Oryza sativa Japonica Group: one gene and its partners. The protein of the gene in region 1 interacts with the protein of each later gene in a pairwise test. Links are inferred from orthologs where the notes say so. Each region holds a gene or a part of one and is shown on either strand. Other genes may lie near its edges.

What was found.
Region 2: the proteins of preprotein translocase subunit SECY, chloroplastic (region 1) and inner membrane protein PPF-1, chloroplastic interact in binary tests that used the Arabidopsis thaliana proteins (3 or more experiments, as listed by UniProt). The link is inferred for Oryza sativa Japonica Group from reciprocal best matches to the Arabidopsis thaliana genes SCY1 and ALB3.
Region 3: the proteins of preprotein translocase subunit SECY, chloroplastic (region 1) and preprotein translocase subunit SECE1 interact in binary tests that used the Arabidopsis thaliana proteins (3 or more experiments, as listed by UniProt). The link is inferred for Oryza sativa Japonica Group from reciprocal best matches to the Arabidopsis thaliana genes SCY1 and SECE1.

Annotation. Positions count from the first base shown.
Region 1 is NC_089042.1:9,458,416-9,466,278, reverse strand, and holds the start of preprotein translocase subunit SECY, chloroplastic, read right to left. Parts: upstream 4,326-7,863; 5' UTR 4,305-4,325; coding exon 4,102-4,304; intron 3,988-4,101; coding exon 3,815-3,987; intron 2,926-3,814; coding exon 2,540-2,925; intron 1,880-2,539; coding exon 1,580-1,879; intron 1,494-1,579; coding exon 1,404-1,493; intron 458-1,403; coding exon 334-457; intron 219-333; coding exon 55-218; intron 1-54. Other genes in the region: protein NUCLEAR FUSION DEFECTIVE 4, read right to left, coding at 7,780-7,863. UniProt on the Arabidopsis thaliana protein: Involved in protein export. Probably interacts with other proteins to allow the translocation of proteins across the chloroplast thylakoid membranes. Required for normal greening during embryogenesis. Central subunit of the protein translocation channel SecYE.
Region 2 is NC_089035.1:2,774,832-2,782,610, forward strand, and holds inner membrane protein PPF-1, chloroplastic, read left to right. Parts: upstream 1-3,262; 5' UTR 3,263-3,438; coding exon 3,439-3,804; intron 3,805-4,225; coding exon 4,226-4,336; intron 4,337-4,427; coding exon 4,428-4,502; intron 4,503-4,709; coding exon 4,710-4,770; intron 4,771-4,996; coding exon 4,997-5,070; intron 5,071-5,147; coding exon 5,148-5,252; intron 5,253-5,618; coding exon 5,619-5,726; intron 5,727-5,824; coding exon 5,825-5,928; intron 5,929-6,082; coding exon 6,083-6,232; intron 6,233-6,306; coding exon 6,307-6,430; intron 6,431-6,578; coding exon 6,579-6,683; 3' UTR 6,684-6,724; intron 6,725-6,889; 3' UTR 6,890-7,308; downstream 7,309-7,779. Other genes in the region: uncharacterized protein, read left to right, coding at 1-1,304. UniProt on the Arabidopsis thaliana protein: Required for the insertion of some light harvesting chlorophyll-binding proteins (LHCP) into the chloroplast thylakoid membrane.
Region 3 is NC_089038.1:14,052,816-14,060,505, reverse strand, and holds preprotein translocase subunit SECE1, read left to right. Parts: upstream 1-3,711; 5' UTR 3,712-3,728; coding exon 3,729-4,331; 3' UTR 4,332-4,366; intron 4,367-5,762; 3' UTR 5,763-6,341; downstream 6,342-7,690. Other genes in the region: uncharacterized protein, read left to right, coding at 1,078-1,133, 1,292-1,398, 1,486-1,573, 1,882-2,073. UniProt on the Arabidopsis thaliana protein: Involved in the import/insertion pathway in the thylakoids. The signal recognition particle is not involved in the insertion of SECE1 in the thylakoid membrane.

The DNA of each region.
Region 1 (7,863 bases):
ATTCGGATGCGGTGAAAGAACAATATTTATTCTAATGGAAGAACAATAACTCACTGTTTTTATGAAGGCAGCTGTACTTTTCCCTGGCCGTACAAGCGGTATTGAAGCACCTTGCCGCTTCAATTGCTCACTAAGATCATCAGGATCCAATTGAAGGAAGGTGTAATAGTAATTGAAAAAGGCTATAAGCAGTACATTAGTTGGAATATACAAAGCACCTGCAGCATGAAGTTAACAGAAAGTGATTTACATGCAAACAAAATGTCTATTGCATTGCCATCTCCCATATAAAGACAACAAATTTCAAAAGAATTATAGAAACTCCTTGTTTACCTCCTGGATTTAGGGATATGGCAGCCTTTTTAAGAAACTCTAAGCCAGTAAATCGTGCCAAAGTACCAGGCAAAGCCAAAGAAGATGTAGAAAATATTATAGGCATGACACCAGAACTATTGACCTGCTCATAATGGTAGCATAGTAAGTCATAAGCAATATTTCCTTTGGTAATTTGTAAGGTAGGACATAAAAAATCAAATAAAATGGAAATTAGAACAATTATGACTCCCAATGATGGAGAGAGGTTAAGAAAAAAAATATTAGAAGCTTGATCTTATTTCATTTGCTAAAAAATAACAGAATAATTGTGTGCTTGGTCCTACAGGCTCCAACTCTTGTTAGATCAAAGTTATTTAGATTGTTAAGTCAGAACATATGGGTGATATCCTCTGGCTTTAATTCGTCCATACACCCTCTACAAAGTTATTTAGGGCCTGTTTGGAGAGCTTAAAATTCTGAGAAGCAACTGGCTGGTAGGCAGCTTCTGAGAATCTGGAAAAGCTGAGTTTCCCAGCTTCTAGCTTCTAGTTCATTTTCTAGATTCTACAACTACAGCTTCTCAGAATCTAGACCAAAAGCTGGACTGTTTGGGGGAGCGTCTGATTCTAGGAGAAGCTGCAACAGCTAGAAGCTCCCCCAAACATGCCCTTAGATTGTTAAGTCAGACACCCAAAAGTGCCAATGGAACGGTTTAAAGTAATAAACAAAGAAAAATAGAAAGTGAACCAAAAAGGTGAATTGAGTGTCATTCAAATGAACGGTTAGAAGAGTACAGACAACATATAATCAAGAATAACAACTAGGAGTCTGCATACCAACTTTCAGAATTATCCCTTATTTTGCACGAAACCACAACTATCAAATGAAGATAGGTCATTCTTCCAACATGTGGTAAGTCACAATGCAAATGTAATACTATCAATAAATTTGGAGAAAGTTCTGAATTGTAAGTATTCAAATGAGAAGCATCCAGAGTATCAACTAAAAGCTGAAGCTCAAACTCAACCCTTGCACAAAATATATGGAAATATAGACATTAAATAGAATTAAATGGAAGCACAGCAAACCTTAAATGGTAGATATGCAGATCGTTGGAGCCCTCCACTCCGACTACTGTATCGAGAAGCATAATTTAGCGGAATTTTCCTCTCGGCTTCCTGAAACCACCCAAGTGATCTCAAATAAGCAATGAGCAATTTGAGAGGAATTCCATATGTATCTTGACAAATTAAAACCTGCTTACTTGGACATAAACAATCCCAAGAACTAAGAAAAGGAACGATAATATGATTGTCAGAAGCCCAACATAATTCCCATCTTGAAATGCCTGTGCAACTGTCCTTCCAAACGATGCAGGTAAATACGATATTATACTTGTAAATATAAGAAGAGATGTTCCATTTCCGAGTTTTAAATCAGATATTCTTTCGCCAATGAAAGTTGTAAACACCGATCCAAGCGTCAGTAGTGTCACAGATGTGAGGACCCATTCTGTGCTGAAGTCATTAACATAAGGACGAAGAAAAAGAACTTGCCCAATAGCCTAGCAAGAAGTAAACAAATTAAAGAAACCAGCCAGGAAGGTACTAGAACATTCCGAATTTTCAATCAAATTAAGGAATATTTTGTAACTAATAACCACAAAATACTATGAAGTACTAGGAGTATAGTACAACCAGGCAAAGCAGAACAGAGTTTTTCCATAGTTAACTTAACAGCACAAACTTAATTGGGTAAAACAAAAGGTTGATTTTTATTTTATGTGCTTCAACAGCATATTTACTTTGCCAATTAGCATGTGGAAATAAGTTCCAGAGTATTTGTGATATGTTAAGCATTTGTCCTCTACGCCAGAGCTAGGTCATTGCTGTATAAAAAATATAGTTTCTCAAAAAACTTTAACTTCTCAAAGCACCCAGCATTCCTAAAATCTGGAAGATTCACAGTCATATTTTGTGACATGTTCAATACAAGTCAAAAAGGTTAAAGGTATATTATCAAGTAAAGGTCAGTTGGTATATAATGTAACGACTAGCGACATAATATTCTAGAGCTTCATATAGATATGTTTGCTCAAGTACTCCGAAATCTAGACGAGACTAACTGTACCCCCTTGGCACCCTGGAAACCGACATCCCACGTCTTCCAATTTTCAATCAATCATGTTGACAAATAAATATGATAAGTGCTCCAAGAATCTAACCTGGACAATTGCAAAACCAACAGATGCGTATCTTGTATACTGAAGAACCTTCTTTCTTCCTGCCTCTCCTTCTTTTTTCTGAAGATCTTGCAATTTGGGATAAAGTTGTGCAAGAAGCTGAAACACAATCTGTGCATTGATAAATGGAACAATGCCAAGGGAGCATATTCCAAGTCGGCCAATACCTCCACCAGAAAAAGAATCCAAAGTGCCTAGTAGACTGTTCTGGTCAAGATTACCAGCGAAAGCATCCCGGTTCACTCCACCCAGAGGTATATAAATACCAAGTCGAGACAAGGCCAAATAACCAAGGAGCTTCAAGAACTTCCCAGGTAGAGGACCCTTGAAGAAGTCACCAATGTCAATGGAACTATCTTCAATTGCAGCTGCTCAAAAGGGAACTACTTGGGTTAAGACACATTTTAAATAGGAATTCTAGTTGGTTAAACTTATTAGGCTGCGTTCAGGAGTGAGGGTTGGGAACCTCACTCCCACGCACGGAAAACGGAGCAGCGATTAACGGATGATTAATTAAGTATTTGCTAAAAAAATTTTCAAAAATGGATTAATATAATTTTTTTAAGCAACTTTTGTATAGAATTTTTTTGCAAAAAACACACCGTTTAATAGTTTGAAAAGCGTGCGCGCGGAAAACGAGGAAGGGAGGTTGGGAAAGGGAGGGAACGAACTGAGCCTTAAAGTGGATTCAAGCTGCAGATACATGAACAACATAGGTCAATGCTCGTAAGTAATTGAACAGTAACAGCCTATGAGGCATGCATGGGTAAAATAAGTTTTTGCACTGATAGAAAAATATGAACATAACTTGAGTTAATTTTACAAACAACATGAAAAGTTAGAGTAGTAGTTCCACATATTTATAACAAGCAAGATCCTGCTGATAACATTATGTCAAAACCATGTGTAATCAAGAGGTTTCCTTTCACGCATACTGAAGTCTCTAGGATTTACCATTACCAGATTACATCTGTGTTAAAAAAAATCTAAGTACTACGTAAATTACATGGTAGCTCTCTCAGAACTTCATCATATTACTTAGATGGAAAATTTTCAATAATTTCTTCACTAACAATTTACTAACATAACATCGTCTTCAGCTCAAACTACGCATTTATCCTAATAAGTAATAACACGCTCCTACAATGATGTAGAATGGTACTGCATAGGTAAATTAGTACAGATATTCCAAAAGCATTTAACAACAAATTCTCAAAGTTACACGCACAAAAAATAGGAAGGGGTTAACTTGGCAACCTGCTGCTCCTCGTCCATAGGACTTCTCCTTCCTGCCGCCGCTCGAGCTCCCGAACACCGGCGACAGTACTCCGAAGAAGTTCGACAGCGGGGACTGCGTGTCATTCCTCGAAGGCCCATCGTTGTACAGCCCTAGGGGATCAAAGCCAGGGCCAGCCGTCTCCAACGCGCACCTGCGAAGCGGATAAGCAAAAAAAAGATCGAAATGAAGCGGAGCTCCTCCGCCAATGCGGGATGAAGCGCGTACGGCGCAATTTTACTCTCGAGAAGTGATGCTGGTATGCTACCTGGGGGAGCAGGGCAGGGAGGCTCCCCTCCTCCTCCTCGCCGCCGACGCCGACGCCGACGCGGCGCGGCGCCCACGGAAGCGGAGGGAGGCGGGAGCTCCGGAGACGGGGGACGCGGAGGAGGGTGCGCGTGGAGGAGGAGGAGGGGGAGCGCGCGCGCGGGTGGGGAGCCAGCATTGCTGCGGGGTGGCCATGGCCGCCATGGGTGGAGGGAGACGGACGAGTGGATTTGGGAGGCGATAAGCGAGGTGAAATGAGGAGGTGGCAGCGGCGCAGAGGATGGGCCCTGGGCTCTGGGCCCTGGGCCTCAGCCGGGCTCGTGGTCGTGGGCCGTAATTAGCTTAGGCTTAGCCGCTAAAGCACATCTCTGTTAGGAAAAAGTACATCGAAGGTCCCTCAACTTGTCCTCGAGTTACAAAATCGTCCCTAAACTACAAAACCAGATACCCGGCGTCCCTTAACTAATCAAAACCGGTCACAATAGGTTCTTTAATGGTTTTGACTCCGGTTTTAACCTACGTGGCAGTTGAGTCAGCGTGGAACCCACATGGGGCCCACGTGTCAGTATGCCACGTCAACTCTTTTTCCCCTCTTCTCATCCTTCCTCAGATGGGACCCGCTTGTCAGGTGTCTCTTCTACCTCCTTCCCTGCGCCAACACAGAGAAGAGAGGTGTCTCTTCCTCAGAAGGACGGCGAGGCTCCAGCGGCTCGGCAGCAGCGGCCGGCCGGCAATGGGGAGGAGGTCGTCGGGGCGAGGAGGTCCACCTTTCTCCACCAGCCGCCGGCGGCGGTAGAGGAGCTTCGCCGGAGATCAAGCGGAGCCGCAGAGGCACAGCGGGCTGCTCCTCTCCCCGCCCCGTGTCGCCTCTTCCTCCTCGTCGGGCCACCGCCGCCACCGCCACCAGATCGTCGATCCCGTGCCTCTCCTTCCCGGCCACCAAGAGACCCACGCGCCCGGAGCAGGTGGATTCGGGGCCGCATCGAGGTAGAGGTGGCGGGTGGCGTCGCCTCCGAGCTCACCGATTTGCGCCTCCATCCTCTGGTCTCACCGCCCCGCTTCTACTTCTACCCCCATTTTCCTTGTTGCTCGTTGGAATCAGCTGCTTAGATTCGATCCTTGCTTTCTTTTTCCTTTTTTTTTTCATTTCCTAACCAGTTGCTTGCAGAGTAGAGTATAGTAACTTGTTAGAATCAATTGGTGTATGATTTGCTCAGAGTAAATGGTATGCGTAGCGTAGCGCTGTCAATTAACAACAATGGATTTATTATGTCATGCGAATTGTACTGTGATTTCATTTCGTTTTACCTGAAATTAGTATCACCGCCTATTCTATTTCTACTTCCTCCGTTTCACGATTTAAGTCATTATAGCATTTCTCACATTCATATTAATGTTAATGAATCTAAATAGATATATATGTCTAGATTCATTAACACCAATATGAATGTGGAAAATGCTAGAATGACTTACGTTATGAAACGGAGGGAGTATATCACAACCGGTATGGATACTCGGCAGTGTCACTGATGCCTGTCCATCTACTGCTAATTACCATGACAGAATATCACAACCGGCGAGCAGGCGGCGACGCAGGGGACGGAGCCGAGGCGGAGGTAAAGGAGCGGGCCGTGGCACGCGGCGAGGCGGTGGAGCGCCTGGTGCGGCAGCGGCGTGAGCAGGTGGAGGTGGCCCAGGATGGGCAGCCCGAACGGGCTCGGCGGGAGGCGCAGGCCTGGTCCGGCCGGTCGTCGGATCTCCTCGCCCCGATGACCTCCCTACCGCCGGCCGCTGGAGCCACGTCGTCCTTCGCTACTCTTCCTCTCCTCTCTGTGTTGGCGCACAGGGAGGGAGGTAGAAGAGACACTTGACAAGCGGGCCCCATCTGAGGAAGGGAGAGAAGAGGGGAAAGAGAGATGACGTGGCATCATGACATGCGGGGTCCACATGGGTCCCATGCTGACTCAGCCGCTACGTAGGCCAAAACCGGAGTCAAAACCACCTAAGGACCTGTTGTGGCCGGTTTTGATTAGTTAAGGAATATCGGATATCTGGTTTTGTGGTTGGGGGATGATTTTGTTTCCTCTCTGTTAACGCAGATCGGCCTGTGATTGATTAAGACTTGTTTTGTCGATTTAGGTTTGTGGTTTGGGCTGGGCCAAAATTCACTTCAGTTTTCGTTTTCCCCAACGAGAACACTTGCCATAGTTTCTAAAAGAGAGAGAGAACATTTGCCATGTCGATGGGCCTGTTTAAATTATAACCAAAAATAAACCTTACCAAATTTTGGAAGGATTTCTTCTGTATTTATTAAATTTGGTAACAAACTATATTTTTTTTTGACAACTTTACTTAAAAAATAGTATGGTTGAAAATTGCATTAATTTGAACAGCCCCGATGTTGACAAGAGATCGATCTCATCTACGATCTTTTGTTAATTTGATGTCAGAAATCATTTAGCCATCTCCAGATAGAAATTGAGATATCCTAATGTAAGACGAAGAAGTCTAACATGGGACAAAAACAACACATAAATTAAATTGATCAATGGGTATGTGAATATGAGATGTATTTTTTTTTCAATTCGTAGCTCCTTTATAAAACATACGGTCTGCATCATCCAAATTATTTGGCATGAATTTCTGAATAAATGTCATTTTCATAAGAAAAGAACAACACAAATAAACAAATTTCATGAAAAATTCTGATACGCCACAAAGTTGGAGAGCATACTCAACATCTACCACAAAGTTAAGTGGCATTACAGATTTGCTACAAAGTTCAGCAGAATACCCTCGTTTGCCCCCCACCTTCTTTTTCTACCCTAATCTTCTTTCATTTCCCATCTCTTCTTGGATTCTCGACGAAACGACGACATGCATCCGTGAGTAGAGCACTGGCGAGAGATGGTGGCTGAGTATCGACAAGCTGTTGACGTAGAGCACTAGCAAGCGCCTGCCGCAAGGACGAGCGGCAACGGACTGAACATTGGCGAGCACGCGTGAGCAATCGGCGCAGCGAACGACTGACGGCAAAGCCAGCGGCCGAGCATACACGCACAGTAGATTCACCGATAGGCAAGCAAGCACGAGAGCAAGCGAGCTCTAGTAGCGGCTACGGAGAGCTCGGAGAGGGTAGACAATGGCATTGAGGCAGGTTGACAAGCATCAAAAGCTCAGTATGAGAGCAGTGGCGGTGGCAATGCCGTAGGAGTTGAGGATGATATGGGAGTAGTGGTGGTGGCAATGCCGCAAGAGTTGAGAACGAGAGGGGATAGATAGAAAGAAGATGGAGAAGAAGACGAGAGTAATTCTAGTACTTAAAGGATGATATGGCATTCCCACTCAACTTTATGAATAATCTGCAATAATCGTCAACTTTGTGGTAAAAGTGAGTACGCCACTAAACTTTGTGACATACTAGCGAATTTCGTAATTTCATATAGAACACTCTTCTTATTATCTATAAGGTAATACTCACAAACTTAAAACTTCACCAGCATAAAAAAAAGATCCCAAAAACCAAACTAGTAAATCCCTTGTTCACATATCATAAACCATTTTCAATAATATGCATGTCATCAATATTCACAAACCAAGCTAGCAATCCAATTATCCAAAATTTAATGTAACGCGCGCGTGACATGCAACAACAACTCAATTCAAAGAAATGCAAAGCTCAATGTTGCTGTGACGCGTTAGGCAACCTGAACGACCCGCCAGAGTAGAGAGCCATGTAAACCGGCTGTATCCTTGCCGCCAA
Region 2 (7,779 bases), on another chromosome or scaffold:
AGTCTGAGGTTGCGCTCACGCTTCCAAAGTTGACTGGCAATGGCAACACTGCGGTTGGCGTCGGTGCGAGGAAGTGTGCCAAGAGGGGGGACAGCATTTGGGGTGCATGGTTCTTCTTCAATCACTACTTCAAACCTGCACTTGTGGAAAAGCCGAAGGGCAAGGTGACACGGGACTCTTCTGGGAGCGTTTCGGGCTTTGAGAAGTCTGATCTTCGCCTTGATGTCTTCCTGGTGCAGCATGACATGGAGAACATGTACATGTGGGTTTTTAAGGAACGGCCTGACAATGCCCTCGGGAAGATGCAGCTCCGGAGCTTCATGAATGGGCATTCCAAGCATGGTGAGCCATCCTTTCCATTCAGTGCAGATAAGGGCTTTGCAAGGTCACACCGCATGCAACGAAAGCACTATCGAGGGCTGTCCAACCCACAATGCCTTCATGGGATAGAGATTGTGAGTTCACCAAATCTGTCAGCTGTTCCTGAAGCTGAAATGAAAAGGTGGGCGGAACTTACAGGAAGAGAACTTAATTTCTCAATTCCTCCTGAAGCAAGTGACTTTGAATCATGGAGGAATCTTCCAAGCACTGATTTCGAACTTGATAGGCCACTGCCACTGTCATCAAAGATTACACATGGCTCTCACAGTCACAAAAAGGCACTGAATGGTTCAGGTCTTAACCTTTCTACGCCACCATCATCAGACGATGGGATGGACCTTTCACCAAAATGCGCCAAGCGACGGAAGGACTTCTTTGCTCATGGTGCAGATGAGGATTGCGTGATGGCAAATAATTCTTGTTCTGACAGAGAGCAAGAGATAGAAGTTCACACAGGTGAGCCGTCATGGATGCATGAGTTCACTGGTGTAGCAAAACATGCAAGTGGACCTGTTACGGCTGCCAAGACAATATATGAGGACGATGAAGGCTACTTAATCATGGTGAGCATGCTCTTCTCTGATCCTCACAGTGTCAAGGTCTCTTGGAGGAACACATTGACACATGGCATTGTGAAGATATCGTGTGTGAGCACTGCTCGAATGCCCTTTGTTAAGAGACATGACAGGACATTCAAGTTGACTGATCCTTTCCCTGAGCACTGCCCTCCTGGAGAATTTGTGAGAGAGATACCTTTGGCTACAAGGATTCCAGAAGATGCAAAGCTCGAAGCGTATTATGACGAGACTGGCACTGGACTGGAAATCATGGTCCCCAAGCACCGAGTTGGACCCGAAGAGCATGAAGTCCAGGTTTGCATGAGGCCCCCACACCTTGGTGAAAACGATCTTCTTTTATCATAGAACAGAAAACAGTTTAGTCTTTAGATCTTCCTGTGTCATGCCATGATATGCAGGAAAGTAACAAGTGATGCCATGGATATTTTGCTGCTAAACATTTAGCTGAAATTCCTTTCTCAGTAGTGTTGGTGATTTAGGCAAAAAAGTTACCACTTTGTTGATTCTCCCCTGTACTTTTTACACTAGCACCACTATATTGGAGATCTTGATTTCTATGGAACATGGCAAAGTTAAAATTCTGTATATATATCTGATGATCAAGTTCAACGGTTCATTACTCCATAATAATGTCGACAGCTACTTACGACTAGAAGTTCGGAACTGTGTTGTCAATTTCAGCAATTGTTTGTAATCGCTGTCTTAATCATTTCAATGTGCTGTACTACAATACTACTGGCTGGATCGCTTTCAACTGAAACCAAAAACTCGATCCCATTGCTGTACTAACTTCATGATCGATATGCTCCTATGCGAATTCCGTTTGGTGAACCCGTTTGCTGAATCCTGAATTGAAGTGATCAAAATTTCTGTTTTTTTTTTTTTTGCTACAGTAAATTGCACCTTTCCTGGATGCTATGGTGAAGCAAAGATCTTTTTTTCACCTGGACTGTAGCAAATGATATTTTCGGGCTTGCGTGTGGCCAGCAATGAGCCATGCTACCGTGGCCTGCTTCTCACGAGTTCTGTAGTTTGTGTAGCCATGGAGAAAGGAGCGTAATGTGCTTGAGACCGATGGTTGTGTGTGGTCGTGAAACAATCACAGCTTCTGTTCTGAAAGTCTGAACCCCAGTGATGTTTGTTTCATTGTTTGTCGTGTGCTTTTCTTTCTTTCTGACGAATGGTGAATAATTTTTCACTGATACAATGTTCGCGAATTCTTCAGATAGTCCCTTGACCACACTCGATTTTCTTCAGGCAAACAATCTCTTCTCACCCGGGCCGATCATTCAGAAACCAGGCTGTTACTAGCAGACATTGACCATCTGTTACCGTGCTGTCAAAGTAGTACTATTACCGGTGCGGTCTTTGTTCAATGCTGCACAATTCAGTTTGTATTTCACATTCTGAAAGTTTGAAACACAAAATATTCACAAGAATCAGGGAAACAGTTCACGTGTTTCAAACGGGGCCTTACATTTGGTCGATCTATACCCAATTGTCAAAATGGGTTTAGAAAAAAAATGATAATAACGTTCAGAAAACTGATATGTAGGGTATGATTGTAATGAAATTACGATTGCATCGTTGAATCTGAATATAGTGCATGTTTAAAGAAAAAATATGCCAAAAAGGTTGGTTGCGAAATACTCGGGGTTTCTTTGAAATACATTTTTTTTTTCAAATGGTTTCTGCATAGATCAGTGTAATTCCTGTATACGAAGGTCCTTCAAAATTTATTTTTGTCCCCAAGGAGGCTTTTCACTAAAATCGAACTGAAGTGAACAGAAGTGTAGACATTAGGATTCATGTTTTCGATAAAAACCAATTGAAAACCGCAAAAATTCGAGGTTTTGATAGTGTTATGACTGAAATTTAGAATGGTTCAAATCTGAAACAGTCAATTTGACCAAAATTAAACGAAAAGTTATAAAAAAATTGACAAAAACCGTTATATCCACATGGATCAGGATCCGGTGCTTAGGCGAAAACCATCTTACAAATTTTTCGAGGTTTCGACACGGAACGGAAACGTTATTCGTGTCAAAACCTCGAAAAATCATTACTACCTATTCTAAAATATTAGAATATAAAATTGGATGGGACGTTTTCAAGTATAATGTATCATAATAGACTCTATATTATAATAGAAAATATTACATACAGTTTTAGTTTCATTTAGGACAGAGGGAGTATTACGTACACTGTAGTAGTGAGCCGCTTTGATGAAGTGGCGAAGTGGAGTTGTGCACCGAGTCCACAGCAAAAGAGCGCGGAAAGGAGGAAGAAGATAAAGCATCCCCCACCTCCGCCTCTTCCCCTCCAACGACTACCTCTTCTTCCTCCTCTCGCACCACCACCACTCACCACCCCCCACCCCCCACCTCCACCCTCCTCCTCCTCCTCCGCCTCGGCGTTCGTGCATGAAACCCTAGACCCCCCCCCCCTCTAAACCCCCCTCCCTCCCGCACCCCCCGCGATGGCCAAGGCGCTCCTCTCCTCGTCGCTGCTCCCCTCGCTGCAGCCCCGCGCCGCCGCCGCGAGGCTGCCTATGCTGACGCTGCCTTCGCTGCGGAGGCACGGGGGCCGCCGCGCGTCGGCGTGCAGGGTGAGGGCGAGCCTCCACGGGCTCGACTCGATCGCGGGGCTCGACCTCCACGCCGCGCTGGAGCGCGCCGAGGCGGCGCTCTACACGCTCGCCGACGCCGCTGTCGTCGCGGCGGACGCGGCGGCGGGAGGAGGAGGGGGTGGCGGTGGTGGTGGCGGTGAAGCGGCGGCGTCGGTGGCGCAGAAGAACGGGGGGTGGTTCGGGTTCATCTCCGAGGCCTTGGAGGTCGTGCTTAAGGTAAGCGCCGCCGTCTTCTCCCAAACCTATAGGAATCCAAGTCACTTTAGGAGTTCAGGTTCAGGATTGCTAAGATTGGTTAATGGATATATCCCTGAGTTGCAAAAGTTGGTCTGGTGAATTGGTTGGGGAATTGGAGATTTGGAGTCATGTAAGTTCGTGGAGAGTGCAGGAGTAGATGTGCATGCACTTAATTATGACGCCTCCATGCTCTGAAACTTACTAAACATTGAGCAGACGGCAACCCGGCATGGTTATTTTTAAGTAACTTATATCTAGTTATGACCAGGCGTGCATTGTTTAGCATTTTCCTATCCACAGGTTTTGATATGAAATGTTACAATTCAAGAACTGTTAGGATTTTATTGCATAGCATTCATCGGCTCCGGAATGCTGATACTATGTGAGTATCACCATACAGGTGCTGAAGGATGGCCTGTCAGCTGTTCATGTGCCGTACTCTTATGGATTCGCCATCATTCTTCTCACTGTTATTGTGAAGGCTGCAACATTACCTTTAACGAAACAACAGGTAAATGATAAAATCTGGTCTATTTTTTAATTAATGAGTAACATGGATATGGTGGGTTGAGAGTTGTGCTGTTTTTCCTCTCTTTTTTTAGGTCGAATCAACTCTGGCTATGCAGAATTTACAGCCACAGATCAAAGCAATTCAACAGAGATATGCAGGAAATCAGGTTTGTTTTGTTTATCTTTTACGCACGCCATGGATATTAAAGTAGGAACACTGAGGTTTGTTTCTGGATATATGTTTTGCATATTTTAACGATAGAAGGTAGAACTATCTTCCCAAAAAATGTTCTTATTTCACTGTTGTGTTTTATATTTTCAAGCACATATCTTTGGGCATTTCTGATCTATCACTCCTACATAACTCTTATTAGGAAAGGATACAGCTTGAGACTGCTCGGTTATACAAGCAAGCTGGAGTCAACCCTCTGGCAGGTCGCTTACTTCTCCATTCTTTAGCCTATTAACTTTGATAGTTGAATTGTTCCATTGCATCTTTTTTGTATGAGTTTGTTATTTATTAGTTGATCATATTTTCTATTTCTCGACATAATGCATCTATTGCCATCATGTGCTTGCAAAACCAATTGTTGGCTTTTTAAAGTTTTAAGTGAGATTGCTTTTGTGATATAGTGTTTTGATATTATGGTTTCTCTTCCAGGATGTTTTCCAACTTTGGCAACAATACCTGTCTGGATTGGCCTCTACCAAGCCCTTTCAAATGTAGCAAACGAGGTAAAACTCAAATCCTGCTTCCTAATATTTGCTTCATTAAGAGGATTTTGTTCTAAGTGGCTTATATTTCTCTGAAGGGATTACTGACAGAAGGATTTTTCTGGATTCCATCTTTGGGAGGCCCTACAACAATTGCTGCTCGGCAAAGTGGTGCTGGCATTTCTTGGCTCTTGCCTTTTGTGGTAATAAAATTGATCACACGTTAACATATATCAACAATTTCATTGCTGATCTAGGAAAATCAGGTTTATAGTGCACTTGAGCGAATTTAACCTCATTTTCCCCCCTTATTTGACTTTGACATACCCGTCAAGTTAGATTAGTGTCACGTTTCTGCCCATAGTCATTTAAGCAATCAAGCAACAAGAAGCTTAGCTATTTGCACCTCGCATTTTGTTGCCTATTATTTAGAACTCTGGTTGAAATAAATGGCGTGGCATACCAATTTATAGTCCTGTAGAGACATGATAGTAAAACAGCATATTACTCATGTACTTGCATAATATTGAGATGGTAAATCATACTTACAACTTAAATGAATTGTGCAGGATGGCCATCCTCCATTAGGCTGGCATGACACGATATGTTATCTTGTGTTGCCTGTGCTACTTGTTGCTTCTCAGTTTGTCTCTATGGAAATCATGAAGCCACCCCAGGTGAGCAGACGAGCGGTGCTCTAAATTACTATATCATCTGTCATATTGCCACTATACAAGCTATGAGTGGCTGGCAATTTGATCCTTTTTTTCTGCAGACTGATGATCCATCGCAGAAGAACACACTGCTTGTTTTGAAATTTCTTCCATTTATGATAGGGTGGTTCTCTTTGTCAGTGCCGTCAGGGTTGTCCATTTATTGGTATGTGCATTTGCTATTAGTTGTATGAGTGTTTCAGTCATGTTCCATGCTATAGTGCTATGCCTCATAGAGATTGTGGGACTCCTCCACTGCTCATTAACTTCTTGCAATTGATCAAATCCAATATGTGTATTGACTCCATGTTTGCTATCAGGTTCACAAATAATATCCTCAGCACAGCCCAGCAAGTTTGGTTACGGAAACTGGGAGGAGCAAAGCCTGTTGTCAATCAGGGGGGTAGTGGGATAATTACTGCAGGACGAGCAAAACGTACGAGTGCTCAACCAGCCCAACCTGGTGAAAGGTGCTTTTGAACCTCACATGGCTTTTAACCCTATTATATTCTGGTTTTGATTTTTACAAAAATATCTTGAATAGATTTAAACAGCTGAAAGAAGAGGAGAGCAAGAGAAAAGGCAACAAAGCGCTTGCTGCAGGAGATTCAGATCTTTCAGCCTCAACATCAGAGGATGAAGAGTCGGATGATGAGACTACTGAAGAGGTACTCAATCTTTTTTTACCATTCATTTGTCCTGCTGGAGCACTGTGTAGTAGACAGTTCAAGCTAGTCATCTTAGAAAATCACTATTCCCCTTAAAATAGTCCGTGTGAATCATAACAAATTTCAATTACTGATGTAAAACGGACAGCAGGGAGGACCTGAGGAAAGATACAATTCCAGTAGCAACAAGAAACTTCCAAATTACTCCGGAAAGAAGGGCAAAAGATCAAAGAGGAAGCGCATGGTTCAGTAGGTGTGACAGAACCTGATTGGATTTCATTTTTGTCATTACTGGTAAGTACTATGAACACACAAACACCTTTTTATAAAGAAGCTCACTAGCTTATTTGAATTCTGGAGTTCATGTTTTTTAAGTGGCAAAAAAGAAAGGTTTATACTCTATCTTATCATATGTCCTTGATCAATTGGTGTTAATGTCATGTACATTTACAAATACAGGTTAATTCAGTTGGCCAGTACGGTTGTGTAGTTGATCTCGGACACAATTTTGATGATCAGTTGGGAAGGCTAATCTTCAGGTGCAGGACAGACACGAAACATTCCAGTGGTACAGGTGTTTTGCTGGCACACAGCAAGATGAAAATAGTTCAGTACACTACAATAGGTTTGAGAGGATAGGCATGGCTTGAGTATGTGCTACAACATAAGAGTAGTACACAAATTATTCTTGTGCTACTCTGCAATGTGGGTACCAAACTCACGCAGGAATTGCATAATTCATGCTCTACATGCATTTATTTCCCTCTTGTAACCTAATAACATTCTTTGCGGAGTATATTGCAGAAGTTAGAACAATCCAGTCGCCTAGAAAAGGTGAGGAAAAAAAAATACATTGCTGAACTTACGTCTACTTTAAATCTTTGAGCCAATTTCTGTGATTCTGAGCAATTATACTAATAAGGCCAAATCCTAATAATTCGATGAAGAGGTGTTTGGTTTGGTTGGAGACAATATATCATTAGCTCAACTGCAGCTTGTCGAATCTGCTGGCTACAATTATTGTGCCTGAGATGTCTGTGCCATACTTTGTTTGCACTTTTCACATTTGAGGCAAACTTTGTGTGCACGATTGATCAATTCCACACCGTTGCTTTGGCACGCATTTTTTTTAATTTTGACAACAGGCAACTTTCATTAATCATTACCCAGCTTGGTAACAAGCCCAAAACGAACATAGTCTGATACAGAAAGGAACAAACAAAAACTAGAAGTTTGGCACGCAATTTTCACGCAGAATTTGAGTTCTGTGTCGCAAATCCTTCGTGTAACCTACGTATATATGCAGAAGGAAAAAAAAGTTACAAAAACCATGGTGTCGTTCACTGGAA
Region 3 (7,690 bases), on another chromosome or scaffold:
TGAAGAAGTAAAACTGCTACCAAGGGAGTTCCTTTGTTCTTTTTTCAAGGGAAACTGATAGGCGGTGGGCGGTTATAACAGTCTGCAATTGGCCCATGACTTAAATTTTTATGGGTATGGCTGTCTTTTTCTGGAAACGAAATGGCTATGCGTACGACCAATGCATACAACCCATGTCTGACTCAACTAGTACAGTACATAGGCACAGCTGCTGTTTTCCTGGGCCCAAATGGAAATAAGCTGAGAACAGGGGTTGATGGAGGAGGTGTGGTTGGATGCCCGTTGTATGGCAGGGTCGTGTGTATAGCAGGACTCTTCTGGAAAAGTCCCCATGTAGACACGATTCACCTAAACTCATACTGTAACACCACCAGGAAACTAACAAAAGGTTCATTAGAGGTGGTCAAATTCAGTTGTGAGGACTAAGGTGTTACACCGGTGCAACTCTGAGTGATGTCAAGTGCATAGTTGATGATTATTATAGAGTACCAAAGTAAAGGTGAGGAACCAATAATGACAAGGCAGAAAAGATTTTGCAAAGTTGTCCCATGTATTTCAAGAAAAGGTCCATTATTTACCATAGAACGAGTCCCAGTTCTGCAACTTGCACCAAATAGCTATGTATTTGTTGATTCTGTTTCATGATAGAAGGTTTTGAATCTTGTTAACAATATGCCTGTTATGGACTCATTTATTGGTCGAACTTATCAGCTCAAGAATGCCATTGTGTATTTCAGCAACACCACAGATTAACAGGGTTGAAGAAGGTAGAGTTGTTAGGAATATGTTAGTTTGATTCAATCTAGGACTCTTTTAAGTTAGTAAGGTGTCAATTAAATTATATTAGGAATAATTGTAATTGGGTTAAGCAATAAAAACGATTATTAGTTCAACAGGAGGCATATTCCCCTCTCCAACCAACATTACATCGACATTGATGCCCTGCCCAGAACAATGCCATCATCATCATTTGTGTTCCGTATAATCTTTTTATACAATAGCTCAGGCGTGTGATTCTGATATCCTGCCATTATAATGTATGAACATAAGTTCTAATCATATTTTGTGTTCCTTTAGGTCCCCATGCTAATCTAGATGAGGATGCTGACTCCAGAACTGTTCTCGTGACAAATGTAAGAACCTTTCTGATTGTTCCTTTTAGGCAATTCCATAATTTCTTGTTTTTCTTCGTGGTAAATATTTTTGTAGAACATAATTCAATTACTCCCTCCGTTCCAAAATATAACAACCTCATCAGCACATACTCATTCCATCTGGATAATTGTTTCAGGTACATTTTGCAGCAACAAAGGAAGCATTGTCAGGGCATTTTATGAAGTGCGGCACTGTGCTTAAGATAAATATATTGACAGATGCAATTTCTGGGCACCCTAAAGGGTATATATACTTTCAAACTATTTTACCCGTGGCATCTATAAGCTGCCCTGTTGTTAATTGTTGGCTTCTTGTTGCATATCCTTGCAGGGCTGCATTTGTTACTTTCACTGACAAGGAATCTGTTGAGAAGGCAGTATCATTGAGTGGGTCATCATTTTTCTCAAGAGTTCTAACAGTATGACCTTTGTTTTCATTATCAACCTCACTCTATACTATTACTATACTTGTTAACTACTACTTCCTCCGTTTCATATTACAAGACTTCCTAGCATTGCCCATATTCATATATATGTTAATGAATCTAGACATATATGTGTGCCTAGATTCATTAACATCTATATGAATGTGGGCAATGCTAGAAAGTCTTATAACCTGAAACTGAGGTAGTAGTACATTGTAACCTTGGATCTGCCTAGGTCAACTACATTCTCATTAACTACTTGTTGTGGTCAACATTCTCATGCCAACACATTCTATTTCCAGGTAATGCGCAAAGCCGAAGCACCTCCAGGTTTTCTGGCATCTGTTCAACCGATCGGGAGGCCTCTACAGTCATGGAACTCACCACCCATCCAGAAAGGGGTGAGTCCAAGGCAGATCCCTGGTTATCACCTCCAATGGAAACGTGAGCAATCTGTGCTGGAGAAATCCCCTGCCAGTTGCCCTACTAACTGAAGAAAACCACAACAAATGGTCTAGAAGAAAATAGGCCTACTCTACATTGGCCTGGCAGTGGACTGTACTTGCAAATGTACAAAGTTTTTGCTGGAGAAAAATGGCCATGTTTGGCATCTGTTACTATGCCCACAAAATACAGGTTTCTTCCATACAAGGTATTGAGGGCTTCAATTGCGGCGAGATACGTGACATGGGGAGAGATTGCTGGCAACGCCAAATGAATCTGTTGATCAGTTTCCGATTGGACACGTTGTAGCGTATGCCTGAAAACTGTTTTCTGAACTTCACTTGAGTCTCTTCATATCTCTACTGTCACCCTTGTCAAATGTAAGCAGGGCGGGTATTCTGATGATAACATGAAATGAAATCACAGTTCTGAAACATTTACAAACATTTCTAAAAGCAGTATATGTAGTATGGAGTAACATATAGGTAAAAGTACATTGTGTTAAGGTATATGAAAAATTAATGCTTCCACCTCGGTCTCGGTCTATTTGAGTGTGTTAAGGGTGTGTTAGTGCGTAATGCTGGCAGTATTGCATGAATTTTACATAAAACATACAGTTTGAATTATGGTCATTCATGAATTCCACAACTTGACAATTCCACTTTGTGACTCAGGTTCTATTGTTTGCAAACTAAAAAAAAAACCCGAGAAATTTCCCATTTTCGCAACGTCTCACGGAGAAAACCCGAAGCTTCCTGCATAGTTCAATTGATTTGGTTACTTAAGGTGAAATTAGCTTCTTAAGTTCAAGTTCTAAATTTATACGGTTCCTGCATAGTTCAATTGATTTGGTTACTTAAGGTGAAATTAGCTTCTTAAGTTCAAGTTCTAAATTTATACGGTTGATTGTATTTATGACTAAATATTCTTTTAATGATATGCGACATATTCGTCGATAGCAAAGTGTCCTCGATAACTTTGTTAATATTAAGATATATCAGTTTAGTTTTCCGAAGTTGCTCATATGGATAGAGGTGTGTGAGTGTGCACATGTGTTTAGGGCTTTTGTTTGGTAGTGTTGGGAACAAATCTGTTCTGCACGGAAAACGAAGTGGTCCATTAGCGCGTGATTAATTAAGTATTTATTAAATTTATTTTCAAAAATAGATCAATATAATTTTTTAAAGTAACTTTTGTATAGAAAATTTTTATAAAAAATATACGGTTTAGCAGTTTAAAAAGCGTGTGCGCATGGAAAACGAGAGACGTGAGTTGGGAAAGTTAGGGTGTGTTTAGTTCACGCTAAAATTGTAAGTTTGATTGAAATTGGAACGATGTGATGGAAAAGTTGGAAGTTTGAAACTAAACACAGTCTTAGTGTACGCCAAAATTGGAAATTTGGTTAAAATTGGAACGATGTGACGGAAAAATTGGAAGTTTATGTATGTAGGAAAGTTTTGATGTGATGAAAAAATTGAAAATTTGAAGAAAAAGTTTGGACTAAACTCGGCCTTAGGGAAAGAACTCAGCCGTATTCTGTTTCTTAAAAAAAAAAGAAGTAAAGAAACGAAGCCTCTGATCATCTGATCTGACCGTTGATCAGCGATCGGACGGCTCCAGGAGGAGAGGAGACGACCTCCCATCTCCTCGACTCTTTCTTATCTCCGACGCCGAACAGCCGCTGGACCAACCAAACCGGGAAGCCATGGCGACCACGCCGACCACCACCACCACCACCACCCCATCCGCCGCCCGCCTCCTCGCCCCCGCCGCCGCCGCCGCCGCCGCCGCCGCCGCCACGCGCGCTTCCTTCTCCACCCTCCGCCCTCCCGCGATCTCCCTATCCCTCTCCCGCTCCGCCGCCGGCTGCCGCGGCCGCCTCGCCCGCGCGGCCTCCAAGTCCAAGGGCGCAGGCGCAGGCGCGGCGGAGGACAAGAAGGGGCAGGAGCAGGAGCAGCAGGAGGCGTCCGCCACGGCGGTGGACGGCGCGGAGGAGGCCGGGGAGGTGGTGGCGGGAGGAGGAGGAGGAGGGGAGAAGAGCCCCGAGGCGGTGGCGGCGGAGCTGAAGGAGGTGCTGCGGGCGCGGAAGGAGGCGGAGGCCGCGGCCGGCGGCGGCGGGTGGTGGGCCGGCGCCGCGCAGGAGATGTCGGAGATCGAGTGGCCGGCGCCCGGGAAGGTGGTGGGCACCACCGGCGTGGTGCTCGGCGTCATCGCGGGCTCCACCGCCGCGCTGCTCTCCGTCAACGCGCTCCTCGCCGAGCTCTCCGACCGCGTCTTCGCCGGCCGGGGACTCCAGGATTTCTTCTGATGAAGGTTGAGCTGAGAGTCTGAGATAGGCGGAAGGTTCGTGTCTAGCGTAATTACTGCTCCTCGCAATTGCTACTTGTAGAGTGGTGATCGATGAAACCCAAACACTGCTTGTGTTTTTGCAAGATAAATATGGTTAGGTTCTTGACATTATTGATCTGTGCTAACCTCTGGTTGGAGATTTTCTCCAAACAATGAATTTGCCTGAAATTTTTGTCAACTATTCAGAAACCTACCTGGCTACCTAGATGTATTTTCTACTTTATAAACTTATTATACTACTAATATTTGGCTACCTTAGATGTATTTTCTACTTTATAAACTTATTATACTACTAATATTTGGCTACCTTAGATGTATGTTCTACTTTATAAACTTATTATACTACTAATATTTCACAAGAATTTTGATTTGTTGTTCCAGTGGTCTAAGTTAGCTCAAATTGCATAGCTACAACCACAATACATGAGTACATGGTTGAATGCCTCTATGTAGTGGTATTAACCGACCAAATTATCCTGAGTTCATTACAGTGTAGTTACAGTGTAGCTCTCATGTCTGAACTTCGCTGTGTAGCACTGTTTGGATCTCTGAGTCGCACATTGTCATTTTGATCTCACATAATTGATTATCATGAAAAACACCTATTCGAGTGCTCTACAGTGTGGCTGAATTAATTTCTATCTGTATATAATGGCATAATCTTCATTGTAGTTACCCACACCATGTGAACTGAGCATGGTCAATTGTCTAGTGATTAGCGGCGTTGCTGCTTGCAATGCCCCCCCTAGGGTTTTGACTCTCTACACCTAGTGTTTCTTGTTCATCCTAGCTATTCCTGTTGTTGGCCTTGCTTTATTCCATCTCTAGGCTCTGCACCACCTCTCATCACCCACCTAGTTCTGGTGGTACTCAGTTCCATTCCATGTGCTACCATCATAGGAGTACCCTGGTATCTGACATGTCCTATTTGGAGTGTAGAATAACTACAGGATCTCAATGGGAATCAGACGGTTATATGTGAATTTCCTGAAATCTAATTGCCCAATGGGGGCCTTATACTAGATCTTGCTGACCTAGATTTATGCACCAATGGATCTTCTCTTGTCATCTCTTCTTTTCTGAATGGGAAAAACTCTGTTTTGCCTTTTTTGACCTTTGGCTTTGTTTGCCTTCTTTTTAATTTGATTATCGATTGCATGTAAGAGTTGAGGTGCTGGTGTTTCTCCAACTAGTTCTGTGGGATATTGGGGTTGTTACAGATGAAGGCATAAGGGGTAAAGAAAGCAGCTGTGCTGAGGAAGCTGTCAATTTTTTTAACAGAAAAAAACAACAAAAGGAAAACATGAACCAGCCATCTGTTTACAGAACTGCACAATATAATTCTCTGCACCACACATACATAAACAACTTGTTTGTCTACAATCTGCAGATCCTACACCCATGACCCAAAGTATTGAACCACATGAAACAGTCAATGCTTATACAGTTATACAGAAATCAGTGATTCTTTTTTGTGCTGTAGCACCATCTTGGTTTTGATGGCATTATCAGGAAATGCTGGAGATTGCGAAGAAAGTTCCATGAACAATGTAGACATATTTTAATAAATGCCTACCTTTCATGAATCCTGGTATAGGCCTACCTTTCAATGCTGAAGCTAATGGTGAAGACGACAAGAATTAAATCGAGCAGTTCCAATTGGATGAAGCCGGCAAGCATCCATTTGTTCTGTTTGCCAATCTATCGAGGTGCTATGCTGATGTGATGTTGTGCACTTGTGCTGTCCGTATTTATAAGAATATAAGGTTAAACTCCAAAGCATTCAAGGTTATGCTACTGCCTATTTTCTAGTACGTTCATATTTATAAATTGCACCAGGAAGCAATCAACCAAAAGCTTCAGCTGCATTAGGTAACTTATTCACAGACCTATATGAAACAGTTGGTGCAATAACAGTGTGTCATGTTGATTAACCGAAGCTTAAATAAATAATTTTTTTTGCATCCTATTACAGGTGACTAAAAGCCATTATGCTCGTATGCTCTTATTACTATCCCTGAATCAAGCAATTTCATTACTACTCCCTCCGATATAAGTCGCTTTGATTTTTTATAGTTAAATTTAAAAAAGTTTGATCATGGTTATAGAAAAATATAGGAACATTTTCAATACAAAACAAACATATTATCAAAATATATTCAAATGTTATTTTTAATGAAACTAATTTGGTATTATAAATGTTGCTAAATTTTCTAGAAACTTATCAAACCTAAAGAAATTTCAGTAGGAAAAAGTTAAAAAAACTTGTAATATGAAAAGGATGCAGTATCTTTTATTACTCAAGCACTAGGTTCAGTACTACAATGTATAATACTACAGGACTGTTTGCCACATCTCCAGTTCCTGGAGTTGGAGTCTAGCAAAACAGTTTCAGCTCCACTTAAAATGGGAGCGGAGCTGGATGGAGCGCTCTCACAAAATGAACAATAACTAGAGAGGTAGAGTTGGGTTTAGTCTGCTCCACAATTTCACTCCAAACCTAATTCCTGAAGCTAAATTTAGGAGTTGGAGATCTACCAAACAAACCCTACTACTAACTGGGGCAAGCTCACTAGCAATACACCAACGGAACCACCCCATTGCCCCAAACAACCGTGGCCCCGCACTCCAGCGCCACCCAAGCCATCGTCCTCCTCTTGTTGCGAAGCTCAAGAACTGGAACTATTTTTTGGGTCAACAAAAAAGGAAAAAGTACACCGGAGGTCCCTGATCTTGTCACCGAGATACAGAAACGTCCTTGAACCGCAATAACAGACACCCGGGTCCCCCAACTATACAAAACCGGTCATCCAACGTCCCTAGTTGGTTTTGATCTCCCTAGCGTGGGACCCACGTGGCCCTACATGTCAGGTGTCCACATCATCTCTATTTCCCCTCTTCTCTCTCCCTTCCTCCCCTCTCTGCTCTCTCTCTCTCTCTCTCTCAGGCCAGGCCGACGGGGTAGGGAGCAGACGGCTGGGCGGCGGCGCTGCGACGGCGGCCTGCGGCCGGCGGCGGCGGCGTCGCCCTCTTCTTCTTCTCCCGCTCCCGTTCCGTCCTCATCGAAGGTGATCACCGCGGCATCGGGCACGATTAGGAGGATGCTCGAGGAGGGCCGCGGCAGCGGCGGCGGCGGCGAGGACGACGTCGTCGTCAACCTCCCCGAAGTCGTCAAGGGCGCCGCCCTCGCCCGCGTCATGGAGTACTGCGACCACCACCACGGCGGCGGCGCCGACCCGGGCTCCGCCCGGTCCTCCTTCCCTCCCGCCCTGGCAAGCGCAGCAAGCGAGGGAGCGCGGCGGCCAGCGCCTCGCGGTG